Linked DNA regions of Rhinolophus ferrumequinum. The protein of the gene in region 1 purifies or fractionates together with the protein of each later gene. This does not show direct contact. Links are inferred from orthologs where the notes say so. Each region holds a gene or a part of one and is shown on either strand. Other genes may lie near its edges.

The links. Proteins that work in one complex are often made in the same cells at the same time.
Region 2: the proteins of DUSP8 (region 1) and MAPK8 purify together in Homo sapiens (affinity purification with mass spectrometry; 3 studies listed by BioGRID and IntAct, counting the BioPlex papers as one, with this or other methods). This does not show direct contact. The link is inferred for Rhinolophus ferrumequinum from reciprocal best matches to the Homo sapiens genes DUSP8 and MAPK8.

What each region holds. Positions count from the first base shown.
Region 1 is NC_046294.1:1,013,232-1,021,023, forward strand, and holds the start of DUSP8 (dual specificity protein phosphatase 8), read right to left. Parts: upstream 3,020-7,792; 5' UTR 2,869-3,019; intron 1-2,868. UniProt on the Homo sapiens protein: Has phosphatase activity with synthetic phosphatase substrates and negatively regulates mitogen-activated protein kinase activity, presumably by catalysing their dephosphorylation.
Region 2 is NC_046299.1:62,953,980-62,961,064, forward strand, and holds the start of MAPK8 (mitogen-activated protein kinase 8), read left to right. Parts: upstream 1-4,070; 5' UTR 4,071-4,238; intron 4,239-5,694; exon of another isoform or gene 5,695-5,710; intron 5,711-7,085. UniProt on the Homo sapiens protein: Serine/threonine-protein kinase involved in various processes such as cell proliferation, differentiation, migration, transformation and programmed cell death.

The sequences.
Region 1 (7,792 bases):
CTGGCCTTCTGAGAGTGCATCCTCACTCACGGGGCCTCCTTGGACCTGCAGCTCCTGGGGGGCAGACCCCTTACCTCTCCCCTTCCCCAAAATGCTACGGATCAGGACCCAGAGCTGGGCAGAGCTGGGGGGCAGGGTGGAGAAGCTAAGGACAGCCTTGAGCAGATCAGTGGGGCTAGAACAGGCCAGGTGGGCACAGTGGAAATAGATATTGGAGGGTCTTGGCACTCCCCACTTTCATGGACCCACCCCAGACTCAGCCCAGACACCATTCCTGGGAACTGACGGGCAGAGCACCTATCACCTCCTATTCCAGAGCCTGGGTGCAGGTGGCGGGGCGCTGCCCCGGGAGACCAGGTGTGCTGCACGCCCAGTCCACAGGCAGGACCCCTGCCCCCCCTGCTCCTGTGCTGTACGCCTGCTGTGCCTGCTGGGACACAACGCTCTGCACACTGACCCCCACGGACCACTTCATCCCCCCACTGCTGTATGCAGTTACCTGCAAATGTGCACGCACACACATGTGGTCATTAGACATGTGTCCTCACCCTCTGCACGCCAAATCCCCCCAAATCCCAGGGCACCCGAATCCCAGTTGCCAGCTGCACAACCTCACACCATCAGCTCCCAGGGCCTCCACGAGGTACAGTCATGTTCCTGCACGCGCATGACCAGGAACCTCACAACTGAGCATGCTCACCAAGGACCTTCTGCTTGGCATCTAGTGACGGGGAGCTCACTACCTCCAGAGCTGGCTGTCAGGACTGTCAGCTGCACACGGGAGGACGGGGGCTGTGGCCCTTACTCGGAGGAGTGGTGCCTGGCACACACAGGCAGACTCTGGGAACAGCTGGCAGTCAAGGGACCTGAGATGCCGAGATGGCCAGCCCATCGTGACCCAAGGGCGCCTCTGGAGGCAGAAACCGCCACATTAAGAGATCCGGAGAGACTGCTAGGGGGTGACCTCTGGCAGGTAGCGTGCTCCGCCAGGTCAGCTCGCTTACCCTCCTCATCCATCCGCAGCAGGGACCACTGATTGCTCGTACCCTTGTTCCCCCTCTCGGCGACCTGGGGTGAGTGGGACAGGACCCAAGCGGGCCTCCACTCCCTCGGCGGGGCCCATGGTAAGTCCAAACAGAGGCTATGGACTTGGAAGATGATGGGATGGAGGGGTCCTGCCCCCTTGGTTCCCAGGGGTCTGAACTGAGCCTGGGGGCGGGGGAGGGCTTGGCATGTGGGCCCTTGAAAGGGCATGCTCAGGACCCTATAATATGTGGGTCTCCTAGTCTCCCTCATCTGCAGGGCTTGGCCCCATGCTACACATCCAGCCAGCCCAGCCCAGCCCTCTGCTGGTCACTGTCCACCACGTCACACCTTGGGCCAGCCCAGGGCATATGCTGGTCGCTGCCCGGAGCTGTCCAGGCAGAAGCGGCCTCAGCCCATGCAGGCCCGGTCAGAGTCTGATCCACATCTGTCTTGCTGTGGGTTTCGCCCCCTCCTTTCCTTTCCTTGCGAGCTGCACATCTCGGACATGTAACCAGGACGCTCTCTGGCTCCCCCGACCCCCACTACAGCCCATGGCCCCTGGAGCCCTCTGTCCGGTTGAAACTTCTGGCCCTGAGGTGAGCCTCAGCCTGAGAGGAGAGGTGATGCTGGGAGGGGGGCTTCGAGCATCTTTCTGCATCTCTGATCATGGGACACACTGTTCCGGGAGGCAGCCTTGGGCCCGGGAGTCTTCCCAAGGGCTGAGGCAGCAAGAGATATTCCAGCCAGACTTCAGGGTGAACTGCCATCCTTGTCTGGGGCTCATTAACCATCTGAGGACTGAATGCATAGGACACCTGTCCTCCCCAGCAGGGCAGAGGCACTGGATGCTGTATGCATTCCGGGGCTGCCCTGGGAGACCACGGGGAGCGGGGATCCTCAGGCTTCCACTGGGGGGGGAGGGGGCGGGGACCTAGAGCAGGAAGAACACTGCTCCCCTGGGCCTGCAGCACCCCACCCCAAGCGGCACAAGAACATTGCAGATCCTGCCATCTCTCTCCTCTACCCCCCAGCCCCCCACGTCCCCCATCACTGCAGCTCCCAGGCCCCCAACTCCCCCCAGCAGAAGCCAGAGGCAAATTCTCCCGGAAGGGATGAGCTAGCAGGGGCTCGGCGGCCCGTTGGTGCCCCTTCCCCTCCCGGCTAGACTATTACGTACCCACCCTCAGGTGGGTAGATAGGCCGAGGGAGGCTGGCTGCACTCAGACTGGCAGTGCCAGCCCCTCCCCCAGCGCTCCGGCTGCCTCTGCAGCAGGCTGGCGACGGTCTTTATTCCGCAGAGGCCAGCTGAGCGCCCCGAGGTGGGGGTGCCCGTGGTGGCCTGGGCAGACAGGGGAGATGGAGCTGCAGCCCCTCCCCACCGAACACCGAGCGAGCTCTTCCCTGATCCTCCCACAGGCCAAAGGCCCTCCACGCTGATGGCAAGGCCTCCGCATCTCCCACCCGCCCGCGGCACGGACGACCTTCTCCAATTCTGGGCCCCAACGGGGGGCTGTCCGGTGTGGGGGGAGTCTCCTGCTCCAGCAGAGGTCCGGACAGATGGATCTCAAATGGCCCTCCTGAGTCCTTAATTCATGCCCCTCCCCCCACTAAGGTGAGAAGCAATCGCAAGGAGAAAGGCGGCGAAGCGGTGGCGGGGTGCCGGCCGGGCTGGGGTCCGCTGGGCGCTGCGGAAGGCTGGGGAAGGGCTTCCCCGTCCTGTCCGTGGCGTCCCTGCAAGCCCGGGCCGCTCACCTCCAGGCCCCCTCCTCCTGGGCGCCCGCGGGGCGCAGCCCCCGAACGCTCCGCGCGGGTTAACCCCTCCCCACCGGCGATCCCGCTCACCTCGCTCACTCTCGCCTCCGGGGCGCACCAGGGACCCGCGCCGCGCTCAGCGCGCCCACTCGGCTGCGTCGCCCATGGGCCCAGCGGGGGCCCGCGCAGCCGGGGCAGAGGACTGGGGAGCGTGCGGGCCGCGTCGCCGTCGCCGCCGTCGCCGCCGCGGCCGCCGCGGGGAGCGCTTGCTCGGGCCGGGGCGCGCGCACTGCGGGCGGGCACGCGCACTCGCCGCGCGCATCCCACCCCGCAGCTCGGCGGGCGCGGCCGGTGCGGCTCCGGCTGGGGCTGGGCTTGGGCTCCGGCGTCCGGGCGGGGGGCGCGGAGCCGGCTCCGCCGCGGCGCTCCGCCGCGAGTGACAGGCCCCGGGCGGAGGGCGGGGCCGCCGGCGGGGATGAGGTCATGCCCAGAGAAAAAAGCCCCTGACGTCACCTGCAGCCAATCAGCGCGCGCGGCTCGGGGGCAGGTGACGTCAACCGGAGCTCAGCTTTGGGTGCAGATGAGAGGCGGCGGCCGCGGGGGGCGGGGGGCCGGGCTCGCCGCCGCCGCCCTCCGCCCTCTGCCCTCACCCCGCACCCCGGCACCGGCTCTTAAAGGGGCCGCGCGGTGCCTGCAACCCCACCTCCAGGAAGCCTTCCCAGCCCCAGTGCTCTGCCTGGCTTGGGGACCCCCAGCCTTACCGCACACAGACTCGCGGCGGGTCCGGCTGACCCGGTCCCGCGCGAGGGTCCTCTCCCCGCCGGCCGAGCCAGAGCTGGCGCCGCCCCTCCGCCGCTCCCCCCGCAGCCTTTGTTCGTGCGGGGCCTGCAACCAGGAGAGCCTTCGCTAGCCCGGGGCCTGGCCGCGAGCACGCATCGCGAGGCCGGCCCTGCGGAGCGCCCTCCTGCCTCTGCGCTCACCCTCTCCACGACTCCAGGAGGTGGGAACTTGGGTCTCCACTTCATTTGGGAGGAATTGGAAGCTCAGAGGCTCAGTCACACATCTCATGAACTGTCGTCGGGGGGGGGGGGAGGGGGGGCAGTGCAGCGCTGTCACCCCCAGCCTCACCGATGACCTCCAGACCTTGACGTTTCCAGTGAAAAGCCACTGCTAAACAGCTCGCCCCTAAACAGCCCTCCCGGGGCCCACCCCGACCGTGTGTGCTTCCCCCACCCCAATAAAGACTGTTGAGGGTCGCCCCCAGCCGGTCCCTGTGGGAACACAATCAGCCCTCCGCGTGGACGCAGGGAGTCCAGAGCGGGAACAAACATAGCTAATTACACCTTGGGCAAGTGTTGGGCCGGAAACAAACAGGGGCCAGCGACACTTGAGTGGGTGGGCGTCTGGGAGGCCACCCCAGAAGGTGACATGCAAGCAGTGACTGGAGGCTGACGAGGATGGTGGTGCAGGAGGGACCACCCCAGGCAGGAGAGGACCTTGTCCCTGCACCAGGAGGAGGCCAGGGTGCCGGAGCCAGCGAGGTGAAGAGGACATGCAGCCACCCATCTATTGATTTGTCAAATATTTACTGAGCCCTTCTCTGGGCCAGGCCGTGTGCCACACACCGGGACTTAACTCTGAGAAAGGGGACAAAGACCCCTCCCCAGGGAGTTGACAAGCTCACAGAGACTTTGAAGGTAATACTTTTGGGGGAGGTTTGACTAGAGAGCTCAGACATTTCTAAACCCCTCCCCAGGGCTCCCTCCAGCCTAGAAGCTCAGCCATCACAGATCTGACAGGGGCTTTGTTCCCCGGGGAGTGCAGCCCCCTTCCTATGCGGGGAGGCCACTCAGACCCCAGCGGTCTGAGTGGAAATGGGGGAGGGCAGCAGGTGAGTGTTGGGCAGGGCTCCGGAGGGGCTGGCCCCTGTCCCATGCTCAGTTCTCCCACCAGACTGTGGGTTTCAGCCTCAGGGCTCTGCACACAGTAGGTGTTAAGTAAGTGCATGGGTCTGCCTCACCAGCTGGCCGGAGGAGCATCAGGTTGTTGTGTGGTATGGGGTGTGTGTGTGGGTTGCCTGGCTCAGAGACTACTTATGGTGTACAAACATCTTGGGGTGGGGGTGGGCGCTGTCCCAGAGGAAGCCCTGGGAAGGGGAGCTATCTGGGGTTGGGGCTGTGTTCAGGACTTTCCTCCTTCCTGGCCCCAGGGTGGGCCCCAAGGAGGGAGGGCCTGCTGAGAAGAGAGGTGGTGGCTGAGAAGGACCCTGAGCTCGGTGATGCCCAGCGAGAATGCTGGCCAGGTCCTCAGTGGTGTGGGGTGTGGTGGGGCCTTACTGCATTGGCTCACTCCATGTCTGAAAAGTGGGGGAGGCTGGGCCCTGGGAGTGGGCAGGAGGATTCAGGCTGAACCCCGGAGGGAGCTGGTGAGGAAGGACCCAGAACAGCGAGGTTCTCTTCATGGTTAGATAGAAGAGCTGTCTCCTTGAGGAGGGGATGTCCAACCCAGCTTGCTCCCCTTGCCAGACCAGGATGAGCCCATTTGGAAGAGCAAGGCTGGGGTGTCCAACTGGGCTCCTGCAGAAGGGGTGCCTCCAGCTCTTTTTCTGCCCAGCCCAGATGTGCTCAGCGCTTGCATGTGGCCTGGGGGTGCCCTTGGTCCCTAAGAACGGCAGCTGTGCCCTGGGCAGCTCCCAGGTAGGCCGAGGAGGCAGCAATAAAGCGAGGGCTGGCGGTGGTGTCCCGGTGCCCCCTTCTGGAAGCTTTGGGGGTGTGCGTGTGGCATGCAGTTTCTCAGGTTGTGCCTGGCCAGGGGACTGACTATGTTTAGGCCATGAGTATTTCATGACTCTAATGGTCATTTCACCTGCACACGAGCCCTTAAAACCTGTGGTTCTGCAACAATGGGGCAGCCGGTTAGGGAGGCACCCCCTCTGGAGAGGACACCAGCTCTGGCCCTCAGTTCGCAGTTGGTTCTTCAGTTCCCCTCCTGGCTTCAGGCCGCTCCCTCGGCCCCCAGCAGAGCTCGGCCGCCTGGTTTCCTGGTCCGCTCAGGTGGGCCCCGAGCTTCACGCCCCAAGACCGGGTCAGCTCTGCGGGAGGACCAGCATCTCTTCTCTGCACAGGTGTGGAGCGGCAGGGGCGGCCTGGGAAGTGGGCTGCGGTAGTCCGAGAGGTGGGCCGCGCGAGGAAGGAACACCTCGCGGGGGTTACAGTTCCCCGTAGGGGCCTGGCCTTCCGCAGTGGCCGCCGTGCCAGGCGGGGCAAGGTCCAAGCCCAGCTGTCCGCGCGCCCTGGTTTCCTGGAGGAGATCGTGGCTACGCGGGGTCCTCTGGTGGAGCGGGACCCCGCGCGGGGTCAGGGAGGCGCGGAGGCCGCGTCCGGGGTCGGCTCCGGAACAGCTGGATCTCCCCGCTCGCGGGGCCGGCAGCCCCCCGGCCAGACCTGCGCTCCCTGTCGGGCAGTTTGGCAGGTCGGAGCCCAGAGGTCCCGGCGGTGGCGGTCCGTGTGCGCCCTCTGCCGCCCGCCCGCAACCGCGGGGAGGACGCCCAGAGCGGGCGTTTTTTAAAGCATCCTTGCCATGGAACAGAAGAGCGGGTTGGCTTTTTCTTGTTGCTTTGCAATTTTCTGTTTCCACCAGTGACATATAGTTAACATTTATCCATGGTATTCCATGTCCCACTGCCTGACTTTTTTAAAAACTCAAGCCATAGTTAATACAAAGCATATCCCAGGTGAACGAATAGATACAAGTGTATGCATCCATGCCATCACCACCCGTAAGAGGACTTAGCGCATTTCTGTCACCCCAGAGAGTTCCCTCGGGAGCCTTTCCAGCCAACTGTCCCCTCACCTTCTGACCTATCACCATCAGTTAACGTTGCCTATTCTTGAACTTCATAGAAATGGGAACATGCAGTGTGCATTCTTTTGTGTCTGACTTTTTTTTCCCTCAAGGAAATGCTTTTGTGATTCCCACCGCTCGATGATAAATGTCTGTATTTTATGGATGCATGGTGGTATTTGAGCCAACGCTCTATTAGATGCTACATTATTCCCATATTCTGGTTATTAAGAACAGTACCATCAGCTACATCCTTCAATATGCTTTTCATAACGCATTTCAGATGATTTGTTCCTGGTTTATTACAATATTTAAAAACTTACAAATAAACACAGGGAACAACCTAACAAATGCGCTCCCAGACCTCACAATGTCAGCATGTTTTCCGTTTTTGCTTCCAATTAGGAAGACAACAGCTGGAATCCAGGCGCGTTGCCCACCCTCGCCCCACTGTCCAGAGGCAGCATGGCCGGCTTCTTCCTGGTTCTGTCTTTCTCGATCGACCGCATGTCTGGGTCCCACATACAACAGAGACTATTCCCTTGGGTGCTTTTAACTAGTGACAGGTAAGTATTGCAGTGGAACCATTCTCCCTCCCATTGCTTTTTGTCACTTTCCAGTCTGTTTATGTGAGGGCACGTGAGCCTGGTTCCCTCCTTTCAGCTGCTCTGTAGGTTTCCGTTGTATGAACAGACCATGTACCATTCCTGTAGCCAGGGACATCCAGCTTGTTTGCAAATTGTTCTACACACAGCAGTGCTGCGATAAATGCCCTAGCCGATTTCTCCAGCGCCGTGGCTCTTAGCCGCTCCCCGAGCTGCTGAGCCAGACGGTGTTCTAACAAGTCCAGGAGAGGTGCGGCGTGCACATTCAAGTTTTTCTTTTCCATTTTCTGCATCACTTTAAGTTTTACAATTATTATATAGTAAAATTGACTTTTTTGGTGACGTTGTTATTGTGGTAAGATATGCATAACATAAAAGTTATCATTTTCACCATTTTAAGCGCAACGTCCAGTGGCACTTGGCACATTCACACTGTTGTGTGGCCGTTACCACCATCATCTTCAGAACTCTTGCCATCACCCAAACTGACACTCTGTTCCCGTCCCCCCCCCATCCCAGGCACCACCGTCGCTTGCTGTCTCTGTGAATCTGATTATTCTAGGGAC
Region 2 (7,085 bases), on another chromosome or scaffold:
AGGACTTTGGCAGAGGTTGGGAATTTACAGGGGTTTCCCTGCCAAAGAGTTATTTGTAGAGTTCCAGCCAGTCTAGCATGAGTTCGTTTTATATCTGAAGGGTGAAGGATGAAGCCCTAGAGGTGGAGATGGAGAGGGAGGTGGAGGTGCAGATGGAGATGGATAATCCCTAAAGCTGCCAAGGGAGAGAGACCAGGAATGGGGTGCTGTCTTCTCTCCACCACGGGGCCTGGACAGACCTTCTGCAGTATAGGAATTGCAAATGGCAAAATTCCACTGGGCTGGGAGAAATTCTAGGCTCGAAATTGTAAATGGTGCAGAGAGTCTATGCTAAAAGGTCTGACAGAAAGCCTTCTTCCTAATCTATATTTATTTAAAACAACAACAAGAGTTTTTTTTATCAGTTATAGAACTTCAGCAACTTATTCTTTCCTTCCCACTCAATTCCTTTAGTCTTTTTCTCCAGTGGATAAATATTGAATATCTTTAATATCTGAGTGTGGATGGAGAAAAGACATACTTAAGCTGTGAGAAGTGAATGCAGAACATTAGAATAAAAGAGCCAACAATGAAAATAAGGCCTAAGAGAGAACCTGAACACAAAAGATAGTGAGGGGCAGGTTGTCCTGTCCTGTTTGCTCTGAGATTTTAAAGAACAGAAAATATGCTGAATTTCTTAAGGCACTGGCTCTCAATCTTGGCTGCACATCAAAATCACCTGAGGGGTTTTGGAAAAGCTACAGAATCCTGGGTTCCACCGCAGACCACTGAAGAAGGATCTCCAGAAGTGGAGTCCAGCTGTGGGAGTTGAATTCCCAAGTTAATTTGAACGAGCAGGTCAACTTGAGAGGCACATCCTAGAGCAGTGGCTCTCAAACTTGAGTGCTCATTAGAAATACAGGCATACCTCCTTTTATTGCACTTCACTTTATTGCGATTCACAGGTATTGTGTTTTTTATAAACTGCGGTTAAGACCCTCCGCCAGCAAAAATATTACAAATCACTGTATTGCAGTGATTTGGAACTGAACCCACAGTTCCAGGGCTCCTTAAAATGCAGAGTGCTCTCCCTCACCACCCCAAGTCTTCTAATTCAGATGTCTGAAATGACTCTGAGAATCTGCATTTCCAGCAAGCTCCCAGGTGATGCTGACATTGCTGGTCTGGGACCACAGTTTGAGACCATCTTAGAGGAATAAATGCTGACCATTTTTTTCCCATGAAAACATGCATGTGTACTCAATCTATAGGCTTCACTAGTTGGTTTGTCTCTCTCTTGTGTTTACCTGGAAGCCATGTGTGCATATGGGGGTGAAGGAGAAGGAGGAAGCCCAAACGAAGAAGGGGGTACTACTTATAAGTTCAAATCAGAGAGCCACCCACTTCTACCTTCACATTTTTTTGTTCAAGGTGTGACTGAGGAACTCTGGTCATTTTTGATTCTGTTGTACTCCCGATGAAATAAGCCATCGTTCTTGCAGTTGAAAAGATAATTTACAACATGAGCACTCATCTTTCCTCTACTCATGCAACCAGAGACAGAGCTGCTCTCTCTGAAGTCAGCAGGCTCTGCCTTGAACAAGCCCTAAAGAGCACCTCAGAGTCAGAGGGTGATTAACTGAAGAGCTGAACCTATTCCTCCTATGGATGCAGAAGTAGACTGTAAGGTCATGGTTGGGAAAACAGATGGGTTGACTTGAAAGCAAGGCTGAAGGAGGAGGGTGGTGAAAGTGGGGTCAGAAAGTTAGAGGTGTCCTTGGAGATGCCCTTCAGCAGGCCTTAGTAAGCCCCCCTCCCCGACTCCCCTTCTTTGGAATGAGGTCAAGAAACTAGGAAGTGAAATAAAGTTTCAAATTTTGGTTTCTGCACCCTTGAACAGCTGGGTGTGAGATGCACCTGAGACCTTAGCTAAAGTCTCAACTCCACTGCAATTCAGTGTGTGTGTGGTCTGCAGAGAATGACAAGGGAAGTGCTCTGGACAGGGTGCGACCTCTTCTTGACCATCTCTCAGGGCTCCAGCAGAGAATGGGTTTAAGGGGCCTACAGTGTTCCCTTCCCGCCTTCCCCCATCCCAGCCTCAGAAAGACCCAAGGACCAGCTTTCCCCAAGACAACTCCCCTGGGATAAGAGGCAAATAAACCTGAATTCCTTAGCTCTTCCTCTTTTTCTGAGTCTGCACCCAAAAGGCTCACAGGGAACCATAATAGGTTAACAAGGAACTATGACATGAGAAGGAAGAAGGAGGCCCAGAGCCACATCTGGGTTACAAAAAGCATTTTGCCTTTGCAGAATATCAGAGATGATTACATTCAATCACAAGCAATGAATGTTTTCTGGAATCATACACATGCACACATACATACATAAACACGCAGGATGTCCGTTCTAGATGTAGGTAATTGGGAGATGACAGTAGCAGGCTGAAGCTAACTCAGAAACTCTCCCTGTTGAATGAGAGGCTGTGAGTAGCATTACAGAACTGGGCATAAAACTCAGGAACTCTGTTCTGCAACACCACTCACTTCACAACGACCCTATGATATTGTCTTTTGTCACCTCCAGGTCTTTAACATTGTCAGGTGGGAAGTAGGAAGTACTTGCTGATGCTTCCACCTGGGTGTCCAATTATACCCTCCCACCTCCCCCACACACACTCCTCCAGGAAACTTACACTCATGCTTCTTGTATGCTACCTCTCCCTCTCAACAGAGTCTTTCTATCAGATGTAAAGTATCCTGGCATCTTTTTTCACTGCCTAATTCATCCATTTCCACTGCCTCCGTTTTCTCATGTCCCATTCATTTCTTAGCCCATTCTAATCCACTTCCAGATCTCAGTACACCAGGATTTCAGGCCTCCTTTTTTTTTTTTTTTTCCAGGCCTCCTTTTATATTTGATGTTATTGATCACTCTTTTCTTCTTGACTCTCTTTTTCCTTCTACCTCCCTGGAAGCTCCTTCACAGGTTCATCCTTTTCATTGGCCATTCAATGTTCCATTTATGTTCCACTTCAGAATCACTGGAAACAGGCCAGCCCAACATGACATGGGAGAAGATACTCTCTGAATTCACTAATTTATTCAACAAATATTTACGTTCATTATTTATTCATCATTAAAATAACACACTTTTTTCTGATTATTAACATAAACTGTTCCATTTGGAAACCATGAAAAAAATATCCAAAGTTTAAAAGAGAACCAATTCACCTTTTATTCCACAGTTCAATGATGAACTACTGTTAAAATAATTTGGCAGATTTCCTTCTAGGTTTTTTCTATGTATACATAGTATATAAGTAGGATAATTTTATGAATATAGACTTGTTTCTTTCTCTTAATCTATTATGAACAGTTTCTTTTTAGCAATTCCTTGAACACATCACATTTACATGGCTAAAATGCATTCTATTGCATGGGTGTGTGTCATTTGAACAGATTTCCACCCATTGTTGGATATTTAAAAGCTTGTCTGTTATTTCGATAACTAACGTACACTCGCTTTGTGGGGCCCAGAGACAAATAGGGTAGTGCACGGAATCTGGTAGAAGGTGGACTTTAGGAAAATAGGGGGCAGCTTTTTCAGATGGCTGAGGAGAACATTTATTTGCTTGTGGGGTGCTGGGCCCGGGGCAGTTGTCCTTACAATGTAATATATTGTCTGTCAAGGCAATGAGCTCTTCATCTCTTACATGTGTGCCTGCTCCACCAGCCGGTTTGGTCTAAGCACATCTGACCTCCAAATCCTGGGGAGAAGAGCCCCAAAGGATTGGGCTCAGACTAGCGTACCGCCCCAGGCCCGTTGCTGAGCGGCCTGGCCACGCGCCGCCACGTGCCAGGATCAGGGCTCCGCCCCCTACGGTTCCCCGCCACGCCCCTCACTCGACGCTCTCAGAGGCTCTCCGGCAGCTCCTCCTTCAGGCGACCTCCGCTAATCCTCCCGGCCCCCTAGGGTAGCCCCGCCCCCAGACTGCGGGCCCCGCCCCCGCAATCCGGGCCCCGGGGCTGCCCCGCCCCGCGGCTGCTCGCATGGCGCAGGGGCGGTGCCCTGCGCGATGACGTGAGCGGGCGTGCGCGGTGACGGCCCGCGTCCCTGTTACTCAGCGGAGCGGCCGAGGCCGGACGACGCGGCCGGGATCGCAGAGCCGCGAGCAACGCTGGGTAACGGCCGCTGCGACCGCCCGGACGGCACCGGTCCCCGCCGGCGGGCTTTCCTGTCGCCGTTCGGTGCGCTGCCGGGTGAGTGCGGCGGGCGCCGGGGGACCAGGTCGGCCGGCGGCCCCGCCGTGTTTATGTTATTGTGCCGACGCCTTCCTCTCAGCCGTGACCCCCTCCGGGGAGTGGGAGCGGGAGCGCGCGGGGGACGCGCGGCGAGCGGGGGCCGCGCGGGAACAATAGCGGCCGGGGAGGCGGGGCGGGCCAGGGGGCGTGGGGCTGCGGGACCCTGGCGCGCCCTGGCGGTTCGCCCCCGGCTCCGCCGCCCCAGCTCCGCCCGTCTGTCCTCGCGCAGGTCTCGTGTCCACGTCTGGAGGGGAAAAGGAGCGGGGGTGGGTGGCAAGTTCTGAAACACTTCGGCGAAGGTCGGGACCGAGGCGCGTTGGCGGCCCGCCGCGCCCTGGCTGCCTCCGCCGGCGGTGGGCAGTCGCGGAGAGCGTTCAGGTCACCGGGTCCCAACGCCTGCCTGTCCTCCACGGAGACCGTGTTTTGTTTCTCGGTGGTTTCTTTGTGCTAACGTTCAGGGCGAACACAGGCAGCGCCGCCGAGGAAAGGCTGGGGTGGCCTTCAGCTCTGGGCTGCGAGGGGCAGCCCCGGCCCGTGGTTTGAGCGGGAGGTGTCCATCCAGCTCCGCGCGAGCTACGGTGGTCAGCGCGCATTTCTCATGAGGGTCACTCGATGGTGACCTTTTGACTTTTTCATCCCACCCTCTCATCTCTTTGTCTTTCACTTAATGTTTCCAATTATTAGATGGCGGATCCAAGTCCGTTTTAAAGTATTGCAATGAACACTTTTCATTTTAATTTCTGGAAGTTCCCCATCAGATGTTTACTGTGAACTTAATAACATGTTGACTGCATGGTATCAGACAATGTCCAGTGGTTACTATTTTTACCTCTGAAATTCAATGATCTTTCCAGTAGAATTCTGTTCTGTCAGTCCATTGTGTTTTAACAAGTACCTCCTTGTCAATTAGAACATCTGTTTATTTCATTCATTCATTCTATCATTTATTCATTCATTCAGCAACTGTTCAGTCGTGTACCCTGATGAAGAGTTTGAAGGTAAAGAGAGATATCCTTTAAAGATAGAAAATGCTTTGACTGAAATATAGTAGATGTACCTTTAAATAAAGCGATTATATAAGTGATGTGTGTTAAAGAAAGTACTGATACTCTGGGTAATTTTAATACTTTTTAGCAGTAGATGTGGAACTTCTAGTAGCATGTTATATTAGGAAGTAGAGCTAGGTTTGATCTAAATGTACAACAGTTTTTATTCATTTTCAAATTTAATTTTTTAATCTTACAGCTGTATAGCCTTACAGTCATTTTTAATGTTTACCTCAGATTTCCTCGCTGTGGGTTAAGCCTAGGAGGTCAGATGCTGTAAGTGAACGTATTTAGTGCTGTGCCTGACAAAAGCAAGCAGTCAAAATGGGACTTAAGGACAGACCTATGTTGTATCTGTGTCTCCAGCACCCAGCCTGGAATATAGTAAGTGTTCAGTAAAAGTCAGATTGATGAAAAGCTCTTTACAACTGATAATATTTAAAATCAAGCCTTAAAAAATTTTAATTTTCTCTGTAAAGTTTTGGGAGCCTCATGCAAACTATCACTTCCAAATCGCTAAATGATTAGTTCATATATAGGTCAAGACGGTAGTGGCTTTTGAATAACTTCAGTATCAGTTTTGTTTTTATCACTGCTAAACCATTCACTATCCTAAAATAAAACCTTGTCTAAAATGTGTGTATGTATGTGTGTATCTGTGTATATGTAGGGTTTCCAGGTGGGAATTCCCTCCCGTTCTCAGGAATTTTTTTTTGCTTCCCTGGTCCAGAATCCCAAGATATAAACTGGTTTCTGTTCTCCACCATGAATCGGTGACACCGATACTGCCAACCGCCTAGGTTCAAGGAGCCGATTTTCCTGATTTCCCGACCAACTTTTCTCAGAATTCGGGAATGAGAAAGCAAAAAAAATTCCTGAGAACGGGTGGGAATTCCCACCTGGAAACCCTGTGTATATATCGCTCGCGCGTGTGTGTACACACACAAGCGCGCGCACGCGCACGCGCGCGCGCGCACACACACACACACACACACAGTGATATTTCAATAGAGGTCTAAAATGGTTGCATTTATCCTTCTGAGAATATCATTTGAAAAGTTTCTGATGACTCCTTTAAGTGGAAAAGGTAGAACAAAGGAAATAGGTTGCATCAAAATTTTATTAGAAATGTTTAATTTCTAATAACATTTTAGAAATGTTTGTTGGAAATGTTTTATTTTAAATCTTCCTTTATTTTAAATACTATTGGTGGAGCATATGGGCCTAAAACTCAAAATAATATCAGTTTGTCCAAGTTATATCTCTTTTACATTCACTATGTAATAAATTTTAGAATTTGTTTTGGATTTGAAAGAATTAGGAGTGAACTTATTATCTGATGTATGGAACAAATCAAGAAATAAGAAAATTATATTTTATAGAATAAGCGATGAAAATCTTAAGATACGAAACTTTTATTGCTTTTCCTAATTAAGGTATGTCCGATTCCAGTAAGTGTTATTGATACAAATCCTTTGGCAGTAGCTCACTGTCGGGCTCTTTGTCAAACCAGAGCTTTTTTGTTTTGTTTTCTAAATTTTGATTTTAAGACTACCAGCATTATTGAGATATAATTTACATACCATAAAATTTACCCTTTTAGAGTGTGCATCATGGTTTTTAACATATTCATAAAGTTATGCATTGATAACCACTAATTCCGGAACGTTTTCGTCACTCCAAGAAGAAATCCCCGTACTCACTAGCCCTAGTCTCCCATTCCATTCTAAATTATGTTAAAAGGAAGAGATAGCATTAA